7 linked regions of the Cricetulus griseus genome follow. The protein of the gene in region 1 interacts with the protein of each later gene in a pairwise test. Links are inferred from orthologs where the notes say so. Each region holds a gene or a part of one and is shown in the gene's direction. Other genes may lie near its edges. The genes, in order: Ap1m1; Entr1; Ap2b1; Mtf1; keratin, type I cytoskeletal 40; Zbtb43; Tgoln2.

What was found.
Region 2: the proteins of Ap1m1 (region 1) and Entr1 interact in binary tests that used the Homo sapiens proteins (3 or more experiments, as listed by UniProt). The two-hybrid records come from large-scale screens. The link is inferred for Cricetulus griseus from reciprocal best matches to the Homo sapiens genes AP1M1 and ENTR1.
Region 3: the proteins of Ap1m1 (region 1) and Ap2b1 interact in binary tests that used the Homo sapiens proteins (3 or more experiments, as listed by UniProt). The link is inferred for Cricetulus griseus from reciprocal best matches to the Homo sapiens genes AP1M1 and AP2B1.
Region 4: the proteins of Ap1m1 (region 1) and Mtf1 interact in binary tests that used the Homo sapiens proteins (3 or more experiments, as listed by UniProt). The two-hybrid records come from large-scale screens. The link is inferred for Cricetulus griseus from reciprocal best matches to the Homo sapiens genes AP1M1 and MTF1.
Region 5: the proteins of Ap1m1 (region 1) and keratin, type I cytoskeletal 40 interact in binary tests that used the Homo sapiens proteins (3 or more experiments, as listed by UniProt). The two-hybrid records come from large-scale screens. The link is inferred for Cricetulus griseus from reciprocal best matches to the Homo sapiens genes AP1M1 and KRT40.
Region 6: the proteins of Ap1m1 (region 1) and Zbtb43 interact in binary tests that used the Homo sapiens proteins (3 or more experiments, as listed by UniProt). The two-hybrid records come from large-scale screens. The link is inferred for Cricetulus griseus from reciprocal best matches to the Homo sapiens genes AP1M1 and ZBTB43.
Region 7: the proteins of Ap1m1 (region 1) and Tgoln2 interact in a two-hybrid assay, tested with the Homo sapiens proteins (2 studies listed by BioGRID). The link is inferred for Cricetulus griseus from reciprocal best matches to the Homo sapiens genes AP1M1 and TGOLN2.

What each region holds. Positions count from the first base shown.
Region 1 is NW_023276806.1:246,994,534-246,998,558, forward strand, and holds the start of Ap1m1 (AP-1 complex subunit mu-1), read left to right. Parts: upstream 1-1,225; 5' UTR 1,226-1,354; coding exon 1,355-1,396; intron 1,397-4,025. UniProt on the Homo sapiens protein: Subunit of clathrin-associated adaptor protein complex 1 that plays a role in protein sorting in the trans-Golgi network (TGN) and endosomes.
Region 2 is NC_048599.1:137,777,235-137,781,288, reverse strand, and holds the start of Entr1 (endosome-associated-trafficking regulator 1), read left to right. Parts: upstream 1-1,254; 5' UTR 1,255-1,353; coding exon 1,354-1,423; intron 1,424-1,506; coding exon 1,507-1,656; intron 1,657-2,019; coding exon 2,020-2,088; intron 2,089-2,815; coding exon 2,816-2,931; intron 2,932-3,174; coding exon 3,175-3,585; intron 3,586-4,054. Other genes in the region: Pmpca (mitochondrial-processing peptidase subunit alpha), read right to left, coding at 241-443, 1,140-1,207. UniProt on the Homo sapiens protein: Endosome-associated protein that plays a role in membrane receptor sorting, cytokinesis and ciliogenesis. Involved in the endosome-to-plasma membrane trafficking and recycling of SNX27-retromer-dependent cargo proteins, such as GLUT1.
Region 3 is NC_048600.1:96,535,848-96,539,956, forward strand, and holds the start of Ap2b1 (AP-2 complex subunit beta), read left to right. Parts: upstream 1-1,309; 5' UTR 1,310-1,447; intron 1,448-3,594; exon of another isoform or gene 3,595-3,644; intron 3,645-4,109. UniProt on the Homo sapiens protein: Component of the adaptor protein complex 2 (AP-2). Adaptor protein complexes function in protein transport via transport vesicles in different membrane traffic pathways.
Region 4 is NC_048595.1:28,233,005-28,236,504, reverse strand, and holds part of Mtf1 (metal regulatory transcription factor 1), read left to right. Parts: intron 1-20; coding exon 21-259; intron 260-1,082; coding exon 1,083-1,214; intron 1,215-3,500. UniProt on the Homo sapiens protein: Zinc-dependent transcriptional regulator of cellular adaption to conditions of exposure to heavy metals. Binds to metal responsive elements (MRE) in promoters and activates the transcription of metallothionein genes like metallothionein-2/MT2A.
Region 5 is NC_048600.1:113,048,877-113,053,114, forward strand, and holds the start of keratin, type I cytoskeletal 40, read left to right. Parts: upstream 1-1,438; coding exon 1,439-1,885; intron 1,886-3,153; coding exon 3,154-3,236; intron 3,237-3,536; coding exon 3,537-3,693; intron 3,694-4,238. UniProt on the Homo sapiens protein: May play a role in late hair differentiation.
Region 6 is NC_048599.1:145,169,799-145,173,298, reverse strand, and holds part of Zbtb43 (zinc finger and BTB domain-containing protein 43), read left to right. Parts: intron 1-53; 5' UTR 54-76; coding exon 77-1,480; 3' UTR 1,481-3,500. UniProt on the Homo sapiens protein: May be involved in transcriptional regulation.
Region 7 is NC_048601.1:64,348,727-64,352,936, reverse strand, and holds the start of Tgoln2 (trans-Golgi network integral membrane protein 2), read left to right. Parts: upstream 1-1,410; coding exon 1,411-1,416; intron 1,417-3,339; coding exon 3,340-3,811; intron 3,812-4,045; coding exon 4,046-4,210. UniProt on the Homo sapiens protein: May be involved in regulating membrane traffic to and from trans-Golgi network.

The sequences.
Region 1 (4,025 bases):
TATGTTCAAAATATAAAATGTATACATTATGAAACTGACAAAGGATAAATTAAAATTTTTTAAACTGCATCTTACTGGCTGACCTGGAACACACAGATCTGCCTGCCTCTGCTTCCAAGTGCTGGGATTGAAGGCACACACTACTATGCCTCACTAAAACTTAGTACTTTGTAAAAAGTCCATATTCAGGTGTGTGTGCATGAGTGCAGCTGTCCACAGAGGCATCAGATCACCTGGAACTGGAGTTATAGGCAGTTGTGAAGCATCATATGTGCCTGCTGGGAACAGAGAGAGGTCTCGGCCATTAGGAGTGAATACTTCTCCTGCCCAAAAAACTGAAAAAGGAATGGGGGGGGGGCTGCAAGTAAAGACGCCTGCTGCGGAAACTGATAACCTGATCTCTGGGACCCACATAGTGAAAAGGAGAAAACTGACCTCCCTGTGTGTACTGGAACACACACAAAGCAACTACAAGAAAGAAAGAAAAACAAAGGGGCGGGTGCTGAGGTGTTGGCTGGTCTCCCAGGACGGTTAAGAATGACAGAATTAGGGCTGGAGAGATGGCTCGGAGGTTCAGAGCAGTCCTGAGTTCAACCCCCAGCAACTACATGGTGGCTCACAACCATCTGTAATAAGATCTGGTACCCTCTTCTGGCCAGCAGGCAGAACACTGTATACATAATAAATTTTTAAAAATCTTAAAAAAGAATGACAGAATTAAAAGAAAATCAGCCACACTTTGCACTAGGCACGATGTCTAAATAACACACGTGCTAGTCTAGTCCCCTGGGTTCACTGGGCAAACTGGGGTGGGGCAGCCACTGATAAGTTGACAGAGGCGATTACTGATAAGTTTTGATTGCCATTCAGAGACTGACTTCCTTTAATCGCCACCTGACAGCGAATCACAGCTGGTGACGGGATATTGGTTTACTAGACTGCTGTCGAATGCAAGGCTGACCCAAATCGGTTCCGCTTTCAAACCCACAGCAGCGGGTTTGAAAGCGTTCACCCGGCTTCCACCTCCAGTCAGCCAGCCACAGCCCGATGGCCCCGCCCAGGCCCCTCAGGCCACGCCCACTAGGGAGGGTCCGCCCTCCGGGACTTACTTCCGGCCCTCTTCAGCAGTGGATGAAAAATACTGCCACAAAGTTCGTACTGCGCCTGCACCTATGTTGCTGCGCATGTGCGCACTCGCGGCTTGCCCCTCAGACCGGACATAACGGTCCGCGCGCTGCTCCATGGACCGGAAGTGGAAGGGAAGTGTCGCGGGGCGCGCCGGGCCTTGCTGAACGCCGGCAGTTCCTGCCGTTGCCGCCGCCCTCGGCTATTGCCGAGGCCTTCCAAAGACGCCATGTCCGCCAGCGCCGTCTACGTACTGGACCTGAAAGGCAAGGTATTGAAGGGCTCTCCACCCTCCGCGTTGCCAGGCAACAGCGGGGCCTCGCCCTGCCGGGACCCACCCTGTTGCTAGGTAACTGGCCGTCCAACCCTGCCAGGGCGTTGGGCAGGCGGGGCAGCCTCACTTGCGGACCCTGTCCTGTTGCTAGGAAACGGCCGGTGGTCTTTGAGAGTCCCGCCCCCTCCTTAGCTTACTGGGTGGGCTGTGGTTGCTAGGTGACCGTCGGCTTTGCCCCTCTCCCGCCGGGTCCGGAAGCTGAGGACCCGCGCCCCGGGATCGCGCGACCCTTGGCCGGAGGCGTGGCGGGGACTGTGTCCTCAGGTCGGCCCCTTGCTCCGCTTTCTCCCGAGAGCAGCTGCGCTTCCTGTGACATTGGGTTCAGAGAGGCGAGTGATAGGAATGCCGTCTTGCTGAGGGGAAACAGACTTGCTTGCCTAGAGTCACACTGATGACTGGGAAGTAGCCATCTGGAAGTCCCACCTCAAGCATCCTTGCTTTCAGCTTATGTTTTCAGAGAAGCCAGGCAGGGTGCTAAGCCCTGGGCCCCACGGGTGGGCAGAATCTGTCATGGCTCTCAGCACATGGAAAAGCACAGATACATGAATGACTGTTGGGACCGTGTGTTCATAACGGACTAGCAGCCCCAGCTGGGGGACAGAAAGCTTTCCTGACTGAGACATGAAGGCCCTGGAAGGAATCAGGGTCCAGGCATCTTCCCCAGGGGTGTCTGAGAAAGAAAACTTCATCTGTGTGTGTTTGTGTGGGTTTGCACATGTGTGTGGAGGAAGGAGACCCTGCTACCCTTACATGGGCTCTTGTTATCACACTCAGTCGCTGGACTGATTCAGCGAGGCTGCCTGGCCTTTAAACTACATGGATCTGCCTGTCTGTATTTCCCAGAAGCACCCCTTGGTTTTATAAGACAAGGTTTCTCTGTGTAGCTCAGGCGTCGCTGAGCACACTCTGTAGACCAGACTGGCCTTGACCTCAGATAGGCCTGCCTCTGCCTCAGGCGTGCTGGAATTAAAGGTGTACACCACCACCGTCTGGCATGTACATGGCTCTTTTACATGGTATCTGGATATGGCTAATTTGTGGTTTTGTGATGCAGAGGCAATAACCCCAAGTGTCTCAAGTCTGTTCAATGAGCGCTCTGCCAGGGAACCACAGTAAGCCCAATGCAAAAACCTCTTACTGGAATATATGATCAGCCTTCAGAAATGGGCTATCACTATCCCTCAATCCATCAAGGTAGAAGGCAGGTGGCCAGCCTTTTATATTTGGAAGCTACCAGAACAGGTCCAGCCACAGTAAACAAAGAACACTGGTGTCCAGCCCACATGGAAGAGCTAGAGGTGTCCAGAAGTGAAGAGGAGGTGTGCCCTAGCTCCAGCCTCTTCCTCAGTCCCTAGAATGTGTGCCTGCCTTGGATGCCACCCAAGGTCAACAGCTGGTGAGTCCCCAATCTGGGCTTCCTCCACAGCCTTCTGGGAACCTGAGTAGGCACAGTGTTCTCTAGGCCTTATGGCACATGCTCTGCCTTTTGCCCTGGCCTAGAGGTACATGGGCTGTCTGTCATGGCTTGCCTGTTCCTTTAGCAAACACCTCAGTGGTGCTTAGCAGGTGATCCATCCTGGACTCAAGCTGTAGAACTAGACTCACGTGTAGGTTCAGCCCATCTTTACAGCTGAGGTGTGTGGCCATAGATACCTCCCATGGCATCTCTGAGCTTTGCCTTCCCGGCTGGTCCAAAGAATCTTATCTGGGTTATTGTAGGTGTGATTCAGGCCTGGCCCTGCACAAGGCACAAAGAGCATGGAATTTAGGCTCCACAGGCCTAACAGTTAGGTTGCTTGCCTTCTCTTTGGCAGTCAGAGAAAATTACAAAAGACTTCCAGGCAGAGCTGGGCACCTGAGATGGTTCTGAGGAGGTGACAGGTATCCAAGTTGTCATGCGTGGTATAAGGCAGCCCACAGACTAGTGGTGGCACTTTAGGGCACCAATGGGAGGAGGCCCCAGGGCACTGCAGTTCCAGGAAGGAGGTCCCATGATGGTATGTAAGCAGACCTGCCTCTAGAAAGTTCCTCAGAGAGGCTGTAGAGCTCCCTGCCTCATTCCAAAATCAAGACAACCTTATGACACTGTGCCAGGCTGACTTGCTGGTTACTGTGGCCACCTTTGGCAAGCAGGAGGTCCTCCAAGAATGCTTGGCTGCTCTCTATTCTCCCACAGCTGCCCCTCAGCTTCCCTGCTTGGCAGTGTGGCCCTGGTGACCCTAGGTCTGGGGTGCTGGTTTCCCCTCCTTCTTCTTGATGCTGTCCTTCTGGGCACTGAAGGCAAAACCCCAGGCTGCCCCCTGTTACTCACAAGGACCTGTGTAGTCTAAGTCTGCCTCTCTGGGCACTGTAGTCTCTATCTGTAAAACAGGAATCAGAGCAGGCAAAGGGCAGTCCCTCGGCCCAACATCAGACTCAGAAGTTTACCCAGTGGGTGCTATGTCCCCTACAAGGCCTAAGCGCTTAGGAAAGAAAGGAACCACTTTTGCTACACTGTCCCAGCTGAAAGCAACAGAGACAGAATGTTTTCTGAAGTGACAGGTTCTGAGGCAGGTGGTACCCATGC
Region 2 (4,054 bases), on another chromosome or scaffold:
AAAAAGTCAATGTTTATGGAATCCTACCTATCCCATACATAATGGAAACTTCTAGAATTACAGAAAAGTAAAATGGGGACAGAGGCATACCTTATATAATATCTCCAAATATGGCCATCGTTCGAATCTTGGATAAGTTTTCAAAACTAACAAGTTTTCCCTGTGAGTAGTCTATGATGGACATACTAATTACAGCTGTCAAAATGGAAAGCCTACCTTAGGCATGACAACAGAACTTACTTCCTACGGTACAGAATTGTCCAAACTTATTTTGAGATGCCACACGAAGCCCATTGTCCAGCGTGGTAACTTTGGTTTCAAACTTTTCCTGTCCATCAACTGTAGCAAAGACAGGTTTGGGCACTCCGGGTAAGGGAGAAGAGAGGGGGATGTTGGGGTACGTGGCACCACTGCTGAACCGTCTGTGTGCAGGAGGTCCAAACCTACAGAACAACCAGCCAGTTACATGAGTCAGTGGTGACCACTCATGTACACCACATGTGTGTTCATGAGAAGTCAACAGGGAAGTCTTCAGTAGAATTTACTCCATGGCCTCACAGAATGTGTAACAGCGATGGACATCCAGGTTCTGCCATAGGCTTTCAGGCAAGTTACCTGAAGCCTTTGGTTCCTTTTTAACAGAAACATATTTGTTCTTATTTTATGTGTTTGAGAGCTTGCCATCACGTGCATGCCTGGTGTCCAAGGAGGTCAGAAGAGTGTTGGATCCCCTGGAAGTGGAGTTATGAATGCTGTGAGCCACCATGTGGGTGCTGGTAACCAAACCCAGAAGAAGCAGTCAATGCGTTTAACTGCTGAGCCATCTCTCCGGCTCCAGGTCTTTGGGTCTTCACTGCCCACTCTGGACAGCAGGGTGTGTGAGAAAGCATTTCCCACATATGAAGCCCTGGGCCAGCCCTGTTCCTCAAGAGTTCCGCCTTGGGTCTGGAAGGCCCCAGCAGGCTGACTCCACCAAACCCTCGAACTAGCTTCCAGTCCCCGGCTCGTTCTCCAGGCCCAACGCGCCTGCGCTCTGCTCCAGGGCCCATTCTCCTCTTCCAGTTCCTTAGGGTGCCTGGTCCGCTCCTCCCTCCCCACCCAGTCCCCATTTCTTCGCGCTAGGACGCGCCTCAGTTTACCTGGGCCGCGCGCACCGAACCGCAGACCCCCGAAGCAACCGCGCGGCCGCCCACACCGCCGTCGCCATCGCGCCGCCGCGCTTCTGCGGTCACTTCCGCTTCCGACCCCGCCCCGTGGCGTTCGGCGCTGGCTTCCGGCCGGCCGTGCCGGATCGGGCATAAGCTGGCAGTGGCGCGGTGGGCCATGGGGTCACGGCCGGGTTAGGGCGCGGCGATGTCGGGCTACACGCGGCGGCCGGGCGCGCCCCCACTATCGAGGACCCGGAGCCTCGTGGTTCCCGACGGTAAGCGGCGCGCGGCCGGGGCTGGGCCGGGGGTCGCGGGCGGAGGTGGCCCGCGGTGAAGCCGCTCTCGTTGTCGCTTACAGCTCCTGCGTTCTATGAGCGCCGGTCTTGTCTCCCCCAGCTAGACTGTGAGCGCCCCCATGGCGGGGACCTGCACCCCCACTTCTTCGGCTTTCGGCCGACGTTTATGTGCTATGTGCCCAGCCCGGTGCTGGCTTCGGTAGGAGACACAGGTGAGAGAGGGGCGCCGGCCGCAGTGCGGAGCTGGGAAGCGCGGGGAGCCCTCCCCACAGCCCGCCTGCCCGCCCCGAGGCAGGAAGGTCAGTGCCCGGTGGAGCTCGGAGACCTCTTTAGCCCACTGGATTGGGAGAGGTCAGGGGCTGGATTTAGTGGGTCTGCGTTCCACCGGCAGCTACGCTGTGAGCGCGCCCTGGTGTGTAGTTTACTCTATACCCAGCTTTAGGAGCCATCCTCCTAGTCCCAGACTAGGGCCAGTCAGTGGGAGTCAGGCGGTCTGCGGTCTTCACCTCCCTGGACAAATGCTGCAGTCATAAGGCTTGCTGTGATTACGGTGAGCTGACAGTGTCTCTTTGCAGATTTTGGCTATGGAAAGGGGAAATATACTAAGCAAGGTCCGCCGGGAGCCCATGAGACGCGCTTTGGAGGTAGAGTAGCTCAGTGATTCTTCTTGACCTCTTCCTCAGACACGGTGCCAGGCCATGGACTGTCAGAATGACAGGGTTTAAATGGGTGTGCCTGGAGCCCAAACAATCAGTGGAGGTAGAAGCCCAAGGATTGGAGACTGGGTGTGAGGGCAAAAATAACCTAAGATGTCAGAGGTGCCTGGGAGGTGGAGAGTATCATCAAAGGGCCCTGCAGAGTCAGCAAGACACAAGTCACAAGAACCCACTTTACTCAGGCTGGCACCTGGAAGGGATCCACACAAGTAACTGGAGTGTGGTAGGAGTGGAGGAAGGTAGAGGCTGATCAACTAGGTTACCTGGAGAAAAGGTCAGAGGAAGGAATGGCATGGAGTAGTTCTGGGCACTGTGGCATCCCAGAAGCTTTCAATCACCTATAGGAGTAACCATTAGCCCACACTGAATGTGTGGAGTCAAGATTCACTGGGGAGCTTCAGTGGTATACCAGTTGTCCAAATGTGTTCAGGACCCTGGACTTGATCTTTGGCACAGTGTGTTGTTTTTTTTTTTAATTTTTGTATTTTTTTTTTTTAAGGTGGCAAGGGGTGAGAGTATGCCAAACAGACCTGTTCTCCACCCTTTTTGGGCAGCTTTCTTATTTGTAGCATTCTCTGAGTCACAGTTGAAATATAATGGTAATACAAGATGTTGTTGGACCCTTTAACAGTCTTTGTGGTGTCCGCTATTTCAGGTGACAAACTTGAAGACCTTGAAGAAGCCAATCCATTTTCCTTCAAAGAGTTTCTGAAAACCAAGAATCTCAGCCTGTCAAAAGAAGACACGAGCAACAGTCGAATTTACCCGAAGGTACATCTGGAAGCTGTCAATGGTTGCCTTTGATGACATCTCTTCTAACTTACAGCTTTGGAGACAGACATTTGAGTGTGGGGAGCAAAGCAGGACAGCTGTGGCTGCTGTTGGAGAAACTGTGGGTGGAGCAGCTGCTTGGCTCCTTTTGGTAGATGAAATGGGCCTTCTTTGTGCAAGCTGAGCATAAAGAAGGCTGAGTGTGGGCTTGCAGGTCACAGTGTTTATCTCCACTGTTTTTAGGAAACCTCGAGGCACCCACTGGGAGTAGACCACAGCAGCCCTGCCCCCCAGCCTGTGGGGTATGGCCTGGAATATCAGCAGCCGTTTTTTGAAGACCCAACGAGACCCAGCAACCTGGAGGAGGAGGAGGAAGAAGATGGATGGAATGGAGCTTACTTGCCATCCACTGTGGATCAGACTCATTCCTCTAGGGCCACAGAGAATTTATCACCCTGTGGCACCTACCTTTCCTTTTTTTCCAATGCATCAGAGCTGGCAGGTCCTCAGTCTTTGCCCCCATGGACAATGAGTGACCCTGACTCAAGGGTCTCCCCAGCATCTCCAGCTGGGAGTCCTAATACAGACTTTGCAGCTCATGGAGAGTCCCTGGGAGACAGACACCTTCGGACGCTGCAGATAAGTTATGAAGCAGTAAGTGAGGGCTGTGCGACACCGAACACAGACAGCTGAGCAGTGTTCTCGAGAAAAGCTGCAGTCATCCACTTCTTGGATGGCCTGGGTTTAATGCAGCAGAATGTCTCCATAGAGGGGCCTAGAGATATAGCTCAGTAGTAACGTTTTTTTCCTAGCACGTGGGAGGTCCTGGGTCCTGAAAGAGAGAGAGAGAGAGAGAGAGAGAGAGAGAGAGAGAGAGAGAGAGAGAGAGAGAGAGAGAGAGAGAGAGAGAAAGAGAGAAAGAAAATGGAATTTCTCCATGGAGAACTCTCCCCTTGGTTGGTTGTGCTGTTAGTGTAGCAGGCTGAGAAGTACTGTGGTGAGCTCAGAGGCAGGCAGGCAGGCAGGCAGGCATGAACTAGAATGAATAAATGGTCCACTGGAAGTGTTTCCGCGGGGATGTCCCACTGAATGTACTACATGAAGGGAGGTTTTTAAATTAGTC
Region 3 (4,109 bases), on another chromosome or scaffold:
ATCTTTGTACCAGGAAGTACTTTGTATAACTTTCAATAAATACACCTTTGTACTGCTGTTTGGGGTTCAGTCTATCAGAGAGGCTGGACCTTCCTGCTCCCACATAGGCCTTAAAATATCATCTTGGAGTACCTTCTTTCTTGAACCACACTTCATCTTCACAGTGCACCCTAACAAACTAACCTGAGAGGCTGGACCTTCCTGCTCCCACATAGGCCTTAAAATATCATCTTGGAGTGCCTTCTTTCTTGAACCACACTTCATCTTCACAGTGCACCCTAACAAACTAACCTGATTGCAATTTTGTAATTGGTTGAAGTTGCCCTCTATTTTTGTTTTTCTTTTTTTCATTTTTTGGTTGAGACAGGCATTTTCTGTGTAGCCCTGGTTGTTCTGGAACTCACTCTGTAGACCAAGCTTGCTTCGAACTCAGAGATCTGCGGGCCTTTTCCTTCCGAGTCTTGCCATGAGGCAGAGGCTGGTGGATCTCTGTGAGTTCCAGGCCAGCCTGCTCCAGGACAACTAGGGTTGTTAGGAAAAAAAAAAGTTGGATCTCTATATCAATTCCTGAGAGATAGTAGCCCCTAATAAATACTTGTTCAATGGTGGAGTGAGAAAAGCCAGAAAGCAGCTGGGCAGAAGAACCTCTAATGTATAGACACAAAAGTTCAAAACAGGTGAGTCCCAGCACGCTAGAGGCACAAGCAAGAGGGGCTCCTGTTGTAGACTAGCCTGAACTTCATCGCCTGATACTTTTTTCTTCTGTTTCTGAAGCTACCTTGTACGACTTAAGCCCCAACAAGATTAAGAGTGTGTGTTAGGTGGCTCGACAAGATTGAGTGTGTGCCGGGTGGCGCGAGATGGGGCACTTATTGATTAAGTCTTCCTAGTCATATCCAATGTAGGGATTCGAACTCAGATCTGAATGCTTCTTAGCCTCATTGAGTCGCTGTCTCCTAGTTCCACTGCTCATGTATGTGGATCAGTCCTGATTTCTATCACCTGTACGGTCTTCTGAATCTGACAGGCAAATTAGCTGAAGTTTGTGTTTCAGAAAATAAGGTATCTCACACAGGTTTTACAAAATTCTTGTTCACGGAAATAAGTCCCGAGAATATCCACTTATTTAACATATCCTTTGGGAAAGCCACTGCGGGTGGGTCCCTTGGTCTATAGGCACTGTCCTGACCCAGAGAAAGGGAAACCTTTCCGTTGCCGAGGCAACAGAGACACAGCCTGGTTGTTTGGGTCTCCCGCGCACCCGGATGACGTCACGCGACGAGATTCTCTCTTACGCCAAAGCTTCCGGCCCACCATCTTTGTCCCTGGCAGATTGGGTTTTGCGCAGTGGCTTAGATCTAGAAAGAATCGTGACGGGCAGGAAACCATTACACCACCACCCGGGCTGTGCTCTCCCGCTACCGCCGCCACCCCGCCCTTGCCTCCGGTGAGTTCAAGGCGGCTGGCTTTGGGGTGTGTCCCTGAGTGACTGGGGGTGGTTGTGAGGGAGGGCAACCCCAAGCCGGGTCTTAGGCGCGGGAGGAAAGGAGATCCGAGGAGCGTGACGGTTGAGGATGGAGGGAGTCCTCGGGTGTGACCGTTGTGAGGGGGAAGCTTGGAAAAAGTGCCTCCTCCGTGGGGGCCGTGGCGGGATAGGGCTGAGCTCGGGTGTAGCAGCGGGTAGTTGGGGGCTTCGGAGCCCAGCGGGTTCCCAAGACCGGCTCGGAAAGGACTGAGGCCAGGGGTGTGGCCGCTAGAGCCTGGAGGCCGAGGGAGAACCACCCAGCTTTCCCGTTTGGCGACTGTTCATTGAGAAGCCTGCACTGGACGTGTCCAGCAAGCAGAGGGAGAAAGGATTCCCCCCCCCGACGGTTTGGCCATTGAGACCTCTCATGTCACCCGTATTTGGGGTTTAAAGTCTTCTCTCCCTGCTTGGTGAAAACTGACCAGATCTCCAGGGTCTTGACCCGGGGGAGTGGGTAAAGAGAAAAGGGGACCAAATGTACTTCGAGGAAGAAAGGAGAAACCTGCAAAATTGACCTCTTGCGTGAGAGGGGGAAGCCAATGAAAGCAAATCTTAGCCCGGGGTTGTTTTTTTCTCCCCCTCTTTCTTCCCTGGGGTTATCAGGAGCAGTGTAGTTTGAGCAAGGCTGTAAATTCTACTAGAAGTGAAAAAAACCTGGAATTTCCTGCTATTTCTTTATTCTTTGAATCCACAGCATGTATTAGCTTTCTGAGCAGCCCTCTGGGGGAAAGCTCTTATAAGGCTCTGGCTATTTGTTTTATTACGAAGCAGCGTGAATGTGTCCTGGATGCTTCGTTGAATTTTTCTTTTTTTTAACTTTCAGAAGGGAGAGTGTTTTTAAATTGCCAAACACTTCTGCAGCCATTGTGGTTTAAAAGACAAAGAACACACAATAAGCTCAGAAAGGCAAGTTGACTGAGAGAGCGCTCTCAGTGAGGACCAGTTTAAATTATTCATTGCTTTCCTAGTGTGGTTCTGCTTAGCCTTAGGGTGCACTTACAAAGTAATAATAGAAAGCAGCCAGTGAAGGAGGTGCAGCAGAGGGTAATGCATCCCAGGGATGACTAAGTGAGATGTGAAATGAGAACTGATCTCAGGTGTCTTACAGGGCAACCCCCCCCCCCCCGAGAAATAAAGGGGAGCGCGTTCTGCAAAAAGTCCCCCTAAAGTTAGATGGTAAACTTAATTAATATAAAGCAAATATTTTGAGGAATTAAGGCTTAAAGAAGTTCCCTTACTTCCTTTCTGTAAAAGATCGTAATTTTCAACTATTATATCTTTTTTTTTTTTTTTTTTTTTTTCGAGGCAGGTTTTCTCTGTGGCTTTGGAGGCTGCCCTGGAACTCCCTCTTGTAGACCAGGCTGGCCTCAAACTCAGAGAGATCCGCCTGCCTCTGCCTCCTGAGTTCTGGGCCACCACCGCCCAGTAACTATTATATCTTAAGGCACATGTTTGACCCAAATTAGACAACGAATATTCGGAGAAGACACCATTCCCCTTTTTCTTTCCTCCTTGGCTTAAGTTTCCTAAAATGCCTTGGCATTTCTTAACAATTGGGTGTGAGATTGTTGGGCTTCTTTCTTTATGTATAATACTATAATAGTGAATTATCTTATAGTTATTGAAAGAAGCTGGGGGTGAATTTGGCTTTTAAATATTTTATTTCTGATAAGGTAACAATCTGAAGCTACTGTTGGCCTTGTGCTATTGAACATTTGACCAGATAGGATCTTTACACCTGTCTCAACCTTGTAAGTGAAGGTTGCTGGAATGACTCTTCTGCTCGAAGTTCGCAGAACTTTGTCTAGTTACTGACTTTATGTGTAAAGAAGGGCATAGTGGCATGTCCGACGATAGTGTTAGTTGCCACTTCCCAGAGAACCATTTGAAATTAAGACCACCTTATTAACTTTTTTCTGACCTTATTCAACTCAGCCTACTAATCTTATTTCAGTGTTGCATTTCTCTTTTGGGGAATTGGGGGAAGGGGAGGAGGGAGGGACTTGGACAACCTATATTTGGCAGAAACTAGGTTATGTTAATCTAGATCTATAACCTTCCTTGTACAGGATGGCCTGTGAAAGACGTGGCATCACACTGTGAGCTAGGACAAATGCAGGTATTATGTGCTTTGCCTGGTGGCTGCTTTGTTCTTTAACAGAGTTCCTAGGCCACCCCATAAATCAGTGACTTTTTAGGTTTGATGTTGTATGAAGTCGGATGAGTTCAAATTCCATTGTGGCTTGCTTATTTCTAGGGATTTCCTGAAAAATAAAAAGTTTATTCTAGTAGGATTTTGAGTTTTGAACTAGGCAAGTTGTATTTTTCTCCAGCTCTATCCTGGCTATTTTTCTGTGGTTTCTAATATAGGCATAGTTTTCACATCATATATTTGGAAAATCTGGCAGTGTCTATCTGGCAAGTGCTGGTGGTGTTTTATTTAAAAATAGGTATATATTGGGAGGTGAAAGTCAGAGTTACATTAAGGTTCTGTCACTGTCACCTCTTCTCATTTTTAATTAAATATTTAATGTTCATATATGCATATAATGTGTTTAGATCTAGTCCAAACCCATTCCTCCTT
Region 4 (3,500 bases), on another chromosome or scaffold:
TATCCCATGTCCCCTGTCAGGTCAAGCGGTACCAGTGCACCTTTGAGGGGTGCCCCCGCACCTACAGCACAGCAGGCAACCTGCGTACCCACCAGAAGACTCACCGAGGAGAGTACACCTTCGTCTGTAATCAGGAGGGCTGTGGCAAGGCCTTCCTCACCTCCTACAGCCTCAGGATCCATGTGCGAGTGCACACAAAGGAGAAGCCATTTGAGTGTGATGTGCAGGGCTGTGAGAAGGCGTTCAACACACTGTACAGGTCAGCCTCTCCATGGCTCTGCCAGCCTCCTGACTCTGAGCTTGGGACCACAGAACTCTTCTCCTTGCATATGACAGCTTTTGACACTTTGGAGAGCATAGCTGCACTCAGCTACTTAAAATGCATTATCAGAGCCTACTACTTAAAAACAGGTGTACCATGGGCTGAGGAGATGTGTTGGCACATCTGTGTGTAGGCTTGCATCTCAAGGAGTGACATCGTGGCCTTGGGATTTTTAGTAGTTGGCGTAGTCTTCTGACTGGCACAAGGCTAAGTTGGCACATAGCCTTTGAAATAACTTTCTTCTGTCCTGAGAGATGGGAAGTTGCCCCACTTGATGTCTGTTTTTCCATGTTTGTGTCAGGAGACTTACATAAATCTTCAATATTAGGCATAAAATAACAGACCATACCATTCTGAAAGTGCCTGATCTTGTTTGGTCCTAGAAGCCAAGCAGGTTTGGGCCTGGTTAATACTTGGTGGGAGAAATAATGCTGGCTAACACTGATGTGTACACTGTGCAAGGCACAATTCTAAGTGCTGGCCCCCAGAACAGCTACTAAGTAAACCGAAGTACAGAGCAGTTGTGTAAGGTACCTGGCCAAGAGGTCAGGGCCAGGACTTGAACCCGGAGGGATCTGTCTCTGATTAATGCTCACGCCACTATGCTACTTTCATCTCTGCATTTCTCTCTGGGTGAGGTCAGATGCCAGTGTACTTTGGTAGCGCATTCTGGTGCACTTGGTCCTACTGTGTGTTCGGCTGGCACTGGGAGGCTCGGTGGTACATTCTGCATGACGCATTTCTCTGGGACATTTTGCAGGTTGAAAGCACATCAGAGGCTTCACACAGGGAAAACGTTTAACTGTGAATCTCAAGGCTGCAGCAAGTACTTCACCACACTCAGTGACCTGCGGAAGCACATTCGAACCCATACAGGAGAAAAGCCATTTCGGTAGGTCTTGCTGTTTTCTGTTTGTCACTGACCAGGTCTTAGCTGGGTATCTTGATAGACTCTAGGAAGTTTTCAAAGTAGGAAGAAAGCTGCCTTACCCATTTCTTTTGGTGGTGTTAGCTTCCCACAGGGTAGCAGTGACCGCCTGCTGCAGGTTGGAGGAGTACAAGTGGACTTTTTCCCTGAGTGATAGCTGGCTGTTATGCCTCATTTTTTTTCTGTATTCTTTAAAGGGTGTTTGTTGAAGCTGACTTATATGGTAGATACTTTTCTTTGCACTAGGGAAGTACTGAGATTCTTAATCAAGGGCTGGGGAGGTAACCTGGGCTACAGAGTGAGACCCTGTGTCAACACCCCTTTCCCCTAAACAAAACAAAGCATCCTTAGTTGAGTGGGGAAGAGCCACAAGTTGTAGACAGTGTCTGAGCTATCAGCCAAAGTGGCTTGAGCTTGGAAAAGGGAGACCTACCTGAGAAAGGAGACTTAAAATTGTTTCTGAGCATGCTCACAAGGGAAAGTGAGGGTAGGAGGCTTAGCTCAGTGGTCTGCATGATCGACTCTGTTACTTAGTTGCTGTTGCTTTTAATATCTCATGTTTGTATACGTATAGAGCCACATGCTTTTGTGTAGATATTTCAAAATCCATGTTTTTAAAAAAATTTTAAATTTATTTATATTTTATATACGAGTGCTCTGTATATATATTTCCAGAAGAGGACACTGGATCCTATTACAGACAGCTGTGAGCCACCATGTGGTTGCTGGGAACTGAACTCAGGACCTCTGGAAGAGCAGGCAGTGCTCTTAACTGCCAAGTCATCTCCACAGTCCCCCAAATCCACATTTAAAATTTTAGTTTTAAGTATGTATCTGTGTGAGCACATGTCATATGTGTGCTGATATTCGTAGAGGCCAGAAGCTGGTATCAGATCCCCTGGAGATGGAGCCCTCTATGAGGGCTAAATTTGGGCCCCCTATGAGGCAGCAAATGTTCTTGACCACCGAGCCATCTCCCTAGCTGCATCATCCACAGTAGATAGGTCTGTAACCCTGAGGCGGCTTGTACCCATCCTCTTTTCCTCGGATGGCATTTAACACACGGCGTGGCTCCAGACACTCAGTAAGTGTTCACAAGCAGCCTTGGAAGATTATATGACATTTTAATAAGGTAATCAGTTTGTAAGGACCCCCATAACTGAATTTTAAGTATTGCTAAAGATTTCCCATAAACAATGTTCTTGAATTCTGACACGGGATATTGCTTAAAGTTCTTTCTTTCTTTCTTTCTTTCTTTCTTTCTTTCTTTTTTTTTTTGTTTGTTTTTTTGAGACAGGATTTCTCTGTGTAGCTTTGGAGCCTATCCTGGCATTCCCTCTGGAGACCAGGCTGGCCTGGAACTCACAGAGATCCACCTGCCTCTGCCTCCCGAGTGCTGGGATTAAAGGTGTGTGCCACCAACGCCCAGTGCCACCCTTCCATTTTCAGGTCACTGGTCCTTCTTTGCACACTTGCAGGCAGTTGAAAATTCTCCAGGAGCAGCTAGCTCCAATTAAATGGAATTGAGATTTTAAATTACAGATACATTCCTGAGTCTCAGCCCCATTACGAACAGGAGGTTACAGTCTAATTGGTTACTCTGCAGATATTTAATCACCCCTACCAGGTTGCTAGGAGGACTTTTATTTCTATACAGATATGTGCGTTTATTTTTGTGATGATTAAAACAGTTTTGTTGTGAATATTAGAGGAGACCTAGGTAGATACAGTGATGATTATACGTGACTAAAAACCAAAAGGCTTTAAAGAAACTTTCTATTTAAATAAGTAAGATGTTTAGATATGTAAGAAAACATACATATGTATGTTTTAAGTTGTTGCTATATAACAACTAAAACAATGTAAAGAACTACACAGACCCTGCTTTTGAGAAAATATAAAAAAAAAAAAAATATGCACACATCTGCCATGGTGGTACACACCTTTGTTCTCAGCATGGGGACGTAGAGGCAGGAGATCTCTGAGAGTTCCAAACCAGCCAGGGCTACATAGTGAGACTCTGTCTCAGATAAACATGCTTTCCCCAAATGTACGAAGAGAGGAAATAAGATTGGAAATGAGAGATGCCTTAAAGGAATCATGTGATAAATGTGTTAGTAATCCTGAGGAGGTGAGGATTGTCCTTGGCTTTGATTATCGAGAAAGTATGTGGGGACTAAGAGTATAGCTCACGTAGCACTCATGATGCCCTGGTCTTAAGCTTTACCACTGCATAAACCAGGTATAGTG
Region 5 (4,238 bases), on another chromosome or scaffold:
AACCTTCACCACAACTTATATCTCCACTGTCCTTGCAAATATAGGTACTGGGGTTGAAGTTTGAGGTATATCATATATGTAGTATGAACAATATGAAAGGTTCAGGCATTATGCTGGCCTGCCCCTGTTACCTGGTGGAATCCACTCAGGCAATACCCTGGTCAGCCCAAGGTTCCATGGGAAAGAAGTCTGCACGCAGGTGCAGAGGACCCCTTTAAAAGATAGGCCCCTGCACCTTTCTCTCTCTCTCTCTCTGCCCCTTTACGCTCGCGCGCTCTCTCTCTCTCCCCCTGTTCCTGCTCTCTGTCCCCTCTCTCTGTTTCCCCGCTGTCTCTCTATGGCGACCGGCCATGGCGGTCAGCCATTACCCTGTCCCTCTTAGTCTCCCCATTCCATTCTACCGGGCCTTATAATAAACTTATAGTCTTAAGTCAATATGTCTGTCTCAATATTTCTCTTTTCTTCTTTTTAAACAAAAGAATAACACAATACCTTATGTCTGAGCCTCAACACCAAAATAAATGAATGATAACAGCTTTTTAAAAGTAGCATAAGGAATCTAACATGGAAATACGAGAAGGCAAAGCTTATGTGTATGACCATCCACTCTGAGCATATCCAATCTCAAAAACTAAGCAGGGGTGGTCATGATCACTGTTTGGCTAGCGATAGAATGTTTGAGATAACCAAAGACCACAATTCAGATCTTGACAACCACTTTCTGTCTTGGCTCACAGGACACAACTTATTCTCATTGTTGTATAAAATGATCTCACGTGCTTTACACTCAGTATATACACCTTTCTCTTTACCATGTAAGCACAGGCTTCAAGGACACACACACACACACACACACACACACACACACACCACACGCACGCACGCACGCACGCACGCACACACGCAGGCATGCATGCCCTTCACGATTGCTAACTATCATTGTGGTGGCTGGTAGCACAAACAAATACATGCAATTTAATGAGCTGTGGTGTCCACTTTTAAAGTAGACAAGAGCAATCGATTTTCAAAATCAAAACCTATGGAAATATTACTTTCTGTATCTCTAATGAGCTCTACCTATGATTACCAATGGCTCAGATTTTCTCTTGGGTTCCTTATTCTTTCAACGGGATAATGTTTCCTATGGCTATTCGCTAAAATAAGGATTTTATCCAAGCAACACGTGGAAATGACAGTCGTCCTGATTTAGTAACCTGAACTTATCCTCCTTTTACGAGGCATAAAACTTCCTCGGTAAATAAGCAACACTAATGAGATGTTTGTAGGAAAACTAGCACCCGCGGTGCTAGAGGAAACATCGGTGTGGCCTGTAAACACCCATTTGAAGGGTGATATAAAGGTCTCAGGGGGGGAAGGAGATGTTTGGAGACAAGACCTCGGCACTACAGCATCCGGTCTGTTCATTCCTTCACAGAAGATGGCTTCTGATGGCTCCCCTGGGTGCTGCTCCTCTGAGCCCTGTGCAGAGGCTCCGGACTGTGCGGCTGCCTCACCCTGTCCCACCGATACAACTTGCCTGCCCAGTACCTGTGCCACATCCAGATGTCAGACCCCGAGCTTCCTCTGCAGGGCTCACCTCTCAGCCGGTCGCCTCTCACCCTGCTACTTCGCTGGCGGTTGTAACAGTCCGTGCCTGGTGGGGAGCTGTGCATGGTGCGAGGAAGGGGCGTTCAACAGCAATGAGAAGGAGACGATGCAGTTCCTGAATGACAGACTGGCCAGCTACCTGGAAAGGGTGAGAAGCCTGGAGGAGAACAATGCGGAGCTCGAATGCAGGATCCGAGAGCAATGCGAGCCCGATGCCCCATTGGTGTGCCCAGATTATCAGCGTTACTTCGACACCATTGAAGAACTCCAGCAAAAGGTTGTGTGTCTCATTCCCTAATGTTCTCTGTTTCCTGTTTCAGAATTCTCTTATATTTACAGTGGCGCGGGTTGTTTTATGGATGTAAAACCAGGGAGGAGGGATTCCCAGAGCTGGTATGCTGCCAGGAAAAGAGGGCCATAGATGGCAAGAAATCTGTCTCAGTATCAGCACTATTGACCATAGAAATGTCATGTCTGTGTGTAGACTATGTCATCTACAGAGAGGGGGAATCTGAATTATGATATCTAAAATCTGTTCTGCATGTATCATTACTTATTTATATTCCTTATCAAACAGACATCAAATGCCATCTCTTTTAGTTCACCTGGTAATCATTTTCCTTTCGTGTGCATGTAGAGAGGGAATACATGCTGTCAATGAGGCCTGAGGTCAATGGCAAGCGTCTTCCACTCCCCGCCTTGTGTTTTGAGACAGAGTCTCTCAAGGGACCTGGGGCTCACTGATTTGACTCACTGGGTGGCTGGCCAGAGAGTCCCAGGGATACTGCTGTCTCTGTCTCCCCTTGCAGGGGTAACAGGCACACACTGCTATACTTAGCTTTCTATACATGAGTTCTACGGTTTGAACCTGGGTCCTCCTACTTGTATTGCAAATGCTCTACTGACAAAGCCTTCTTTCTTTTTTCATTGATGAATTTCTATGACCACAGACAGAGATGCAACTCTAATAAATATTAGCAGTGGAGAAAACTAACAAAGCTCAGCTGTCAATGATGACTGCCAAATGTCCTGCCTTGTGTCACTTATAAAGGAAACCTTGAGATGCAGAAATGACTCAGCAGTGGATAGCAGCACTGTAGCGCTCATGAGCAACCTGAGTTCAGTTCCCAATACCCATATATGGCAGTTCACAACCACCTATAAGTTCATCTCCCGAGGACCTGACACTCTCTTCTGGCATCCTAAGGCAAAGAACAAGTCTACACACACACACACACAGAGTCAGAGAGAGAGAGAGAGAGAGAGAGAGAGAGAGAGAGAGAGAGAGAGAGAGATCAAATACATACACACTCTCACACACAATTGGAAAAAAGATAAAATCTTTTTTTAGAAAGAGAACCTATTTTTATGTCTGTATTTTGTTTCTAAATTGGCACTGCATGTCTCCTTTTTTCTCCATGGTATAGTTATAGGCTGAAAATTATGTTATGCTAATTTTGTTAAGCTAATGAATGGCAGACTGTTAAAACAGAAATGTGGGTTTCTTCCAAAGAGCTGTTGATTACATAATGACTTGCCTCTTAGATACTGTGCACGAAGGCAGAGAATTCTAGACTTGCCGTACAGGTGGACAACTGCAAACTGGCTGCTGATGATTTTAGGTCAAAGTAAGTCAAATTGTATTTATTTTTTAAACCACATTGTATTTTATGTATACAAATTGCATTCTAAATCTTAAATTTAATTTGAAAATAATAATGGCCTCCAGTGATAGAGAATTCTCTGCATGAGATCTTTTTTTTTTAATTTAGAATGTTTGAAACTTGAATTCACCATCATTTGGGATACCCGGGGAATTGTGACATGTGTCTCCCTGGAGGCCACATGTCACTCATCCTTGTACCCCGGCACTTTGGTCAGTGTTTAGCCAAGTAACACACTCCCTTTTCTTTCTCTTGCTGTGAAAGGTATGAGAGTGAACTGTCTCTTCGCCAGCTGGTGGAGAATGACATCGGTGGCCTTCGTGGGATCCTGGGTGAACTGACCCTGTGCAAGTCAGATCTGGAGGCCCACGTGGAGTCCCTGAAAAGTGATCTCCTTTGCCTTAAGAAAAGCCACGAAGAGGTAAGTGAAGTGGCCACTGTGCCAAGGACTATAGGGAGAGTTCTACCGAGAGATTTCATGGGTATAAACTGAACCAGGGCAGACACTGACTAAGCTGGAACAAAACCAGAGGCAGGCCCACTGTGTGGTTTGAGCATCCCAGTGTCTCTCAAGGTAGATGTGACATACAGTGTGTATTGTTGCATAACATCACCCGCCCCAAGTGCCAGGGTGAGGCCACTCTCCCTCCTGCCATTGCTTGGGTGAAGAATTAACTCCACTAATGGCTATTTCTGTAGCTCTACTGTACAACAAGAAAATAGAGCTGTATCCACTTCCAAAAAAGGAATAAATAGTCATGCAATATTAGGAGTAATATTTTTTAGATATTGTACATTTATAATCTTGTTTCTATTATAAGCTTAAGAATGAAATGCAGAGTTACATAATAAAGTAAAACAAAAATGTATTCTTTGCATATTTTGATGGTAGTAACAGCTGACAATTACAGATACCTTAGCATTTCTCAAGAATTTTATAAATTTATTGTCTAACTCTTCCCTGTT
Region 6 (3,500 bases), on another chromosome or scaffold:
ATGCTGGGCTGCTTTGAGGATGGAGTTAGCACTAACTTTTCTTTCTCTTGCAGCACTAAACAAGATTGGTGATGAAATGGAGCCTGGAACGAACTCTTTTCGAGTAGAGTTTCCAGATTTTTCCAGCACCATTCTGCAGAAACTAAACCAGCAGCGCCAACAAGGACAGTTATGTGACGTCTCCATTGTTGTCCAAGGCCACATTTTCCGGGCACACAAAGCTGTTCTTGCTGCCAGTTCACCCTACTTTTGTGACCAAGTACTCCTGAAAAACAGTAGGAGAATTGTGTTGCCTGATGTGATGAACCCAAGAGTATTTGAGAACATTCTCCTATCTAGCTACACAGGACGCCTTGTGATGCCTGCTCCAGAAATTGTTAGTTACTTAACAGCAGCCAGCTTCCTCCAGATGTGGCATGTGGTGGACAAATGCACTGAGGTTCTAGAGGGAAACCCCACAGTTCTTTGCCAGAAGCTAAATCATGGCAATGACCACCAGTCTCCCAGTAGCAGTAACTATAATGGCCTGGTAGAGAGCTTTGAGCTGGGTTCCGGGGGGCACACTGATTTCCCCAAGGCACAGGAGCTGAGGGATGGTGAGAATGAAGAGGAGAGCACCAAAGATGAGCTGTCATCTCAGCTCACTGAGCATGAGTACTTGCCCAGTAACTCATCCACAGAGCATGACCGGCTGAGCACTGAGATGGCGAGCCAGGATGGGGAGGAGGGGGCCAGTGACAGCGCGGAGTTCCACTACACCCGGCCTCTGTACAGCAAGCCCAGCATAATGGCTCACAAACGCTGGATCCATGTGAAGCCTGAGCGCCTGGAACAGACGTGTGAGGGCATGGATGTGCATGCAGCCTACGACGAGCACCAAGTCACTGAGTCCATTAACACCATGCAGACAGAACACTTGGTCCAGCCTTCAGGAGTGGAAGAGGACTTCCAAATTGTGGAGAAGAAAGTAGAAGCAGAGTTTGATGAGCAAGCAGAGGAGAGCAACTATGACGAGCAGGTGGACTTCTATGGCTCCTCCATGGAAGAATTCTCTGGAGAAAGGTTGGATGGGAATCTAATTGGGCACAGACAGGAGGCTGCCCTCGCAGCAGGCTACAGTGAGAATATTGAAATGGTGACGGGGATAAAAGAAGAGGCGTCCCACTTAGGGTTCTCCGCCACTGACAAGCTGTATCCTTGTCAGTGTGGGAAAAGTTTCACACACAAGAGTCAGCGAGATCGACACATGAGCATGCACCTCGGTCTTCGCCCTTATGGCTGTGGGGTCTGCGGTAAGAAATTCAAAATGAAGCACCATCTCGTGGGCCACATGAAAATTCATACAGGCATCAAGCCCTATGAGTGTAATATCTGTGCAAAGAGATTTATGTGGAGGGACAGTTTCCACAGGCATGTGACTTCTTGTACCAAGTCCTATGAAGCTGCAAAGGCTGAGCAGACTACAACTGAGGCTAACTAAAAATAGGGTCTGGCCCTTGAGTGGCATGCACAAAAATAAACTATGGTAATTAATGCAAATCTGGGCACAGATGATGCGTGCCACTTGCTATTATGAGAGAAGCTTAAAAAGAAAAAAAAAAAAGAAGATATTTCTGAAAGACCAGCTCTAAGTAGGCCAATTAAAAAATTTAATTCCTCAAATTTGTATGTTCTGGTCCTGGCCTAGAATGGATGATGGGGATAAGTTCACCCAGTGCCCAACTGGCAAGATAGCCCTTCCAGCCAGCAGTGACTGCCGCGGTGGACTTGGTGGCAGACTAACCCACCAGTTCACTCAGGTGGTAGCAGTTGTCTATCACACAGTGCCCTGAAGTCCTGTTGCATTTTATTTTCCCCTGGTGGATGCAGAGGTTCTGGGGCTTTGCTTTGTTAGCGCATCACTGGATGCTACTCCCCTCAAGGCTGCAGCAGCCTGACTCGTGGGCTGAGTTGTGAACTGAGCTCTTTCATGTCTAGTTTCATGTTTTCTAAAGTTCTAGCTGAAACTGGCAATGTTCAATAGACATGAGTCCAAAACTTGGCTCCTGTTATAGTGCTTCAGACTTCTTTTTGTTTTGTTTTGTTTTGTTTTTCGAGACAGGGTTTCTCTGTAGCTTTGGAGGCTGGCCTCGAACTCACAGAGATCTACCTGCCTCTGCTTCCCAAGTGCTGGGATTAAAAGTGTGCGCCACCACCGCCTGGCTGCTTCAGACTCTTGACAAAGCACGGTTTTGTGTTTAGTTTTAATTGGGTTTGAACCATTGTGTCTCCTTTAAAGTCTGTGGGTGCCAGAGGTAGGTGTTTCTAGTCGATTTGTTACCCTAAGCTTCCCTCCATTTAATGGTAACAGTCTGAACTAGATATCCAACCTGCAGTGACTTATCACAGTACTGGCAGTGTCCTGTGGCCCTACTGCCTTAGATCATGGTGCTTCCCAACAAGGGTCAGCCAGGGACCACAGCTCATGGAACCTAGCCAGAATGCATGACTAAGAGTTACCTGTGAGTGGGACACTCCCATACTCATCAGAGGCAGTAACTTATAAAAACAAAAGGCTATACTTGAGAAAGGTCTCAAAAATACACTGGTGTAGGTGTTTTAGAGGGACACTGAGCAATACTGTCAGCTCCTTATGAGACCTGGAATATGCGTTCCAAGTGTGAAAGGAGTCCTGCATTAAGCAACGTCATCTACAGATTCCTGTTCCTCAGTCACAGAGAAAGCTGCACAGCACACATTTACAAGTCCCAGTAGTTTACACCCACCCTTCAAGACCTGGTCTCCCTGGAGTGTATGTTTTAGGTTGGAAAGAAGTCTTGTGTATTCAGAAAGGCTTTAAGCACATGACAGGCCTGAGGCTCTTCCTGGGATGGGTGTCTGTCTGCTTTTCTTCCCTGGGATAACATATTCTGACCAACAGTAGCTCAGGGAGTTTGGTTTATTCAGCTTACACTACCGTGTCACAGTCCATTCTGGGGGAAATCACAGCAGGAACTTGAATATCCACAGTCAAGACTATCAGCCACAGACATGCTCACAGGCCAGTCTGATTTGAGCAGTCCCTGATTTTAGACTCCCTTCTCAGATGACTCTAGGCTGTGTCACATTGTTAGCTCTAGCCGGACAATGGGACAGGGTGTCGCTCCTATGTCACTTTCCACACACAGTCTGTTACTGCTAAGTAGAAACTTTTTATTTCCTTAAAATAAAAATTCTCTTTCTTGGATTTGGGGTGAAATTTTGTTTTTAAAGTTTGTCTTTCTCTGACATTTCTGGCAAGGGCTTCTGATCATAAGACTTCTGACACCAAGAGTTCACCTTTGACCTTTGTTTGGGAAGGGGAAAGAAAATAGGGACTAGCCAGTAAATGCTTGTGATCAAGATTGCAAAACAGGCATCTATTTATGAACACTGTATCAATCTTGGTATATAAAAGCACTTTGTATTTAAAACTTTATTATAAGTGTAGGTGTAGGGGTTATTTTGTTTTGTTTTGTTTT
Region 7 (4,210 bases), on another chromosome or scaffold:
GAAGCAAATTCATTTCCTTCTGGTTCTCGAGCAGTGGTTCGTTCCTACCTCAGGGAGAAAGTGCCTTCCTTTCTCCCTCCCCGTCTTTCCTCTGCTTCCTTTCCAGTCTACCTCGGAAGCATATTGGTACTGCTTTCCAATCGCATCTCCAGTTTGACCACCTCCCATCATGCTCTCTGGGCCTGTGCACAACTTGGGACTGTTGCAAGAGTCTCCTGATCCCTTTCCCCTACTACCCAAGTCAATTCTTTGTGATACCAGCCAAGTAATGGCCAAACATTCTCCACTCTGATTACAACTTGCCCCTACTTAAACCTCTTCAGTGTCCAAGAGCTCTGTGTGAGCAGACCTTTTTTCCTCCCCTACCTAGTAATGTGGACACCAGGTCAGGTTTAATCATTTGCCACTACCCTCCCCACCCACCCACACCCTCACTAAGCCAATATCCTTAAATGTTAGTCAAACATTTATCTTAAAGCAGGCAGACAGAATTTTCTTTTAGAAAAAGTTTCCTTTACCAGTTCACTTCCTCTAGCCAAGGCAGAGTCAACATTCTAAAGATTTTTTTTTTTTTTTTTTTTTTTGAGTTTTGGAGACGGAACCCAGGGCTTCTCACATGTCAGGCAAGCAGCACTTTACCACTGAGCTATCGTCCAGCTCCTGAAATAATCTGGTAGACTTCTCATCAGATTTTTATTCTTTCTTCAGTAATGTAAGAGGGGAGAGGAAAAGGATGGGGAGAAGTGGTGAGGAGCCTGTTAAAGGGATTTTTATTCAAATAACAGAAAAGGCCCTTGTTTCTAAAACTGTAGTTGTGTTATGTACTAGTTCTTGAAATTTTGAAAAATTTCAGCCATCCAGGACTACATATCATATCATATCATATCATATATCATATCTCACATCCAGGCCTCTCACAGAGTGTTACTTTCTTATGGCTATAGTCCTTTTTGGCTGGAGTGGGCCCAGTTTACTTGTCAACCAGAGTTAGCTGACATATTTTCTATTGCATAAAAACTTACATTCTCGTCAACTCCCAGATCACTGGTTTCTCGGTCTGGCTCTGTTCCAACCTCCTTCTCTATCATTATCCTTGTCACACAACAAGCTTGCTCTTTAGGCTTACCCACAACACCAGGTTCACACTGCATGTGCTGCTCACTCTGCCAGGAATCCTCATCCCTCTCTCCTTTCATTAGTCCCCAGAAGTATCTACAACCTTCTGTCCTCAGTCCCATGGTTCATTCCTCAGCTGATACACACTTTTCATATTCTGCTTGGCAGTTCTTGGAATGCTTTCAATCAGTTATTTGTCTGGAGATCATTGCAAACTACTTGACAAATGTAATTTAAAGGTTAACTTTGGCTTACAGTTCCCAGAAATACACAGAGCATCATGGAATGGAAATCATGGCTGTAAGAGCAGGAGGTGGCTGGTCACACTGAATTTGTAGTCAGGAAGCAGAGAGGTATGAATATTCTATGTTGTGCTCAGCTTGGTTTCCATTTTATTCAGTTCAAGACTCGAGCCCATGAGATACTAATGTCCACACACAGGGTGGGTCTTACCACCTCAGTTAACCTTACCTAGATAATCCCTTACAGGAGTGCCCAGAGACTTCTTTCCATGGTGATTCTAAAGCCCATCGAGTTGACAATAAAAATGAACCATTACAGTAAACATGAATAAACATCTATGTGGTAGTTATGTACTTCACCAGATTGCTTACTTTATGAAATTAAAGTTGTATTTATTTATGTACTTTTGCTTTTTTTTTTTTTTTGAGACAGGGTTTCTCTGTGCAACAGCCCTGCATGTTCTGGAACTCACTCTGTAGAACAGGCTGGCCTCAAACACACAAGAGATCCGCCTGACTCTGCCTCCTGAGTGTTGGGATTAAAGGCGTGCACCACCACAACTGGCTATTTATGCACTTGAGTTTCACTTTGTTCTTCAGGCTGGCCTCCAAAATCTGGCAGTTCAAAAGATCCTTTGCCTCTGAGGCTGGAGAGATGGCTCAGAGTTTAAGAGCCCTGGCTGCTCTTCCAGAGGACCCAGGTTCAATCTCTAGCACACACACACAGCAGCTCACAATCATCTCTCAATTCCAGTTCCAAAGGATCCAATTCTCTCTTCTGGCTTCCTTGGGCCCCAAACAGGCACGTGATAAATAGGTATAAATGGAGACAAAACACACATGCACATAAAATAATTTCATAATTTTATTTAAAATAGCTTCTGTCTTAAACCTCCCCAGTTTTGAGGACCATTTAACGTGGCATGGTGGCACGCAACTGTAATCTCGGCAGGGGAAGGAAGACTGATGCTAACTCAAGGTCAACTGCTTTTTGGAGTGAGCTCCAGGTCTGCTATAAGCTGCCTGTCTCAAAACAACAAAAACAAAACGAACATAGTTTTTGGGATTTTTGGTTTGAGCTAGGACCTGCTATTTGTTAAATCATTGTTTACAAAATACCTAAACTGGCAAATGTTCATAAATTATTTCAAGCAACCTGTTTAAACAACCCAGCCCTATCACAGCTGATACAAGAAACAAATGCAAATAATAATCAATAGATGAACAAACAGCAAGAATTTAAAAAATGTATGTTTTGCTTACATGTATGTCTGTACACCATATTCGTACTATGTCTGTGGAGGCCAAAAGAGGGTGTCAAATCTCCTGACACTGGAATTACAGACCTTTGTTAGCTATCTTGTGAGCGCTGGGAATGGAACTCAGGTCCTTCGGAAGAGCAGTTAGTGTTCTTAACCACTAATCCATCATTTCTCTATCCCCTAAAATAGTATTTTCTTGTTTGTTTTTTTAAGACAGGGTTCCTCTATGTAGACTTGGCTAGCTTGAAACTAGACCAGGCTGGTCTCGAACTCAAAGATCCTCCTGCCTCTGCCTCCTGAGTGCTGGAATTGAAGGCATGTACCGCACTGCTGGGCTTCCCTAAAATAAATTTTTATAAGTATTACCTTTTTTTCTGCTTTCTTGTTTGAATTATTAAGAATATATTGCTGCCAGGCAGTGTTGATACACGTCTTCAAAGGACACCGCGCATAGGTGGTACACACAAAATAAATCTTTGATACCTTATGTCTTAAATAAATAAATAGCCCCAGAAGGGGGCGTGGCGAGACGCATGCAATCCTAAGCACTCGGGAGGCACGAGCTTGACGCTAGCCCGTCCGCAGAGTAATGCAGTATCAAATACAAACAAATTCAGAAAAAGGGGAAAAAAAATTCCGTGGTAAATTCAGAGGGCCCTAGATACCGTCAAGAAAGAGATTCCGACCAGGAACGAAAGTGATGAAGTGTTTGTTTCTAGACGGGAAAGCCCCGAGCAGAGTACGTTTTGGTGTGGAGTGAGAAAAGCACCACCAGCAACGGAGATGTCAGAGGAACCGGCGGACGACGCGGCGAAGCGGCTCCCGGCCCCGCGACCCCATATCATGAGCCTCGAGGGGCGACGCAGCGCCAGCCGCGCAGAACAACTCCCAGAGCACGAGGACACGTGCACAGGGAAGAGGCGGTTGAGCTCGTCAGGGTGCTGAGAAAAAGAGGAAGAGCGGGTCCTCACGTGCGCTGCACACTACCGGAATACTCAGCCGCTGACAGCCCGCACCCGTTAGCCCCGCCCCCGGGGCGGGGCTGCGCCGGAAGAGGAACAGCCCGCCGGAAAGGGAGTGGCCACAGGCTCGAAGTCCCTCGCGCCGCTCTCACGTCAGCAGAAGAGGGCGGAAGTGCAGACTACAGGATGCGGTTCCTAGTTGCGTTGCTCCTAAGTGTCGCAGTGGCGAGTAAGACCCCCCAGCCCCCGCCCCATCCCACCCTCTCCCTCAGGTTCTCTCGTCTTCACCTTGGCGGGTTACCACCGGAGCTGGCGTCCTCCTTTCCTGGCCCGACCCTCGGGCCATCTCCACCCTTCTCTCATTCGGCCATCACCGCTGGCATCTTCCAGCGCTGAGAAGCCAAGCCCCCTTCTCTTCTCCCAGCTTTTTCTTCCGAGGGCTTAACTGCTTTTTCTATTTCAGGTGTTACGCCGCATGAATCTAACCCACTCATCACCTCAGGTAACGATAATTCTCCGATTCAGTCTTCTAAAGAAAAACTCTCCAACCAGAGCCCCATGTCTCCTGAGAAGGAAGTGGAGTCTAAGCCGGGAGAGCCCGGCGGGCAGACGGATCAGAAGCAGCAGC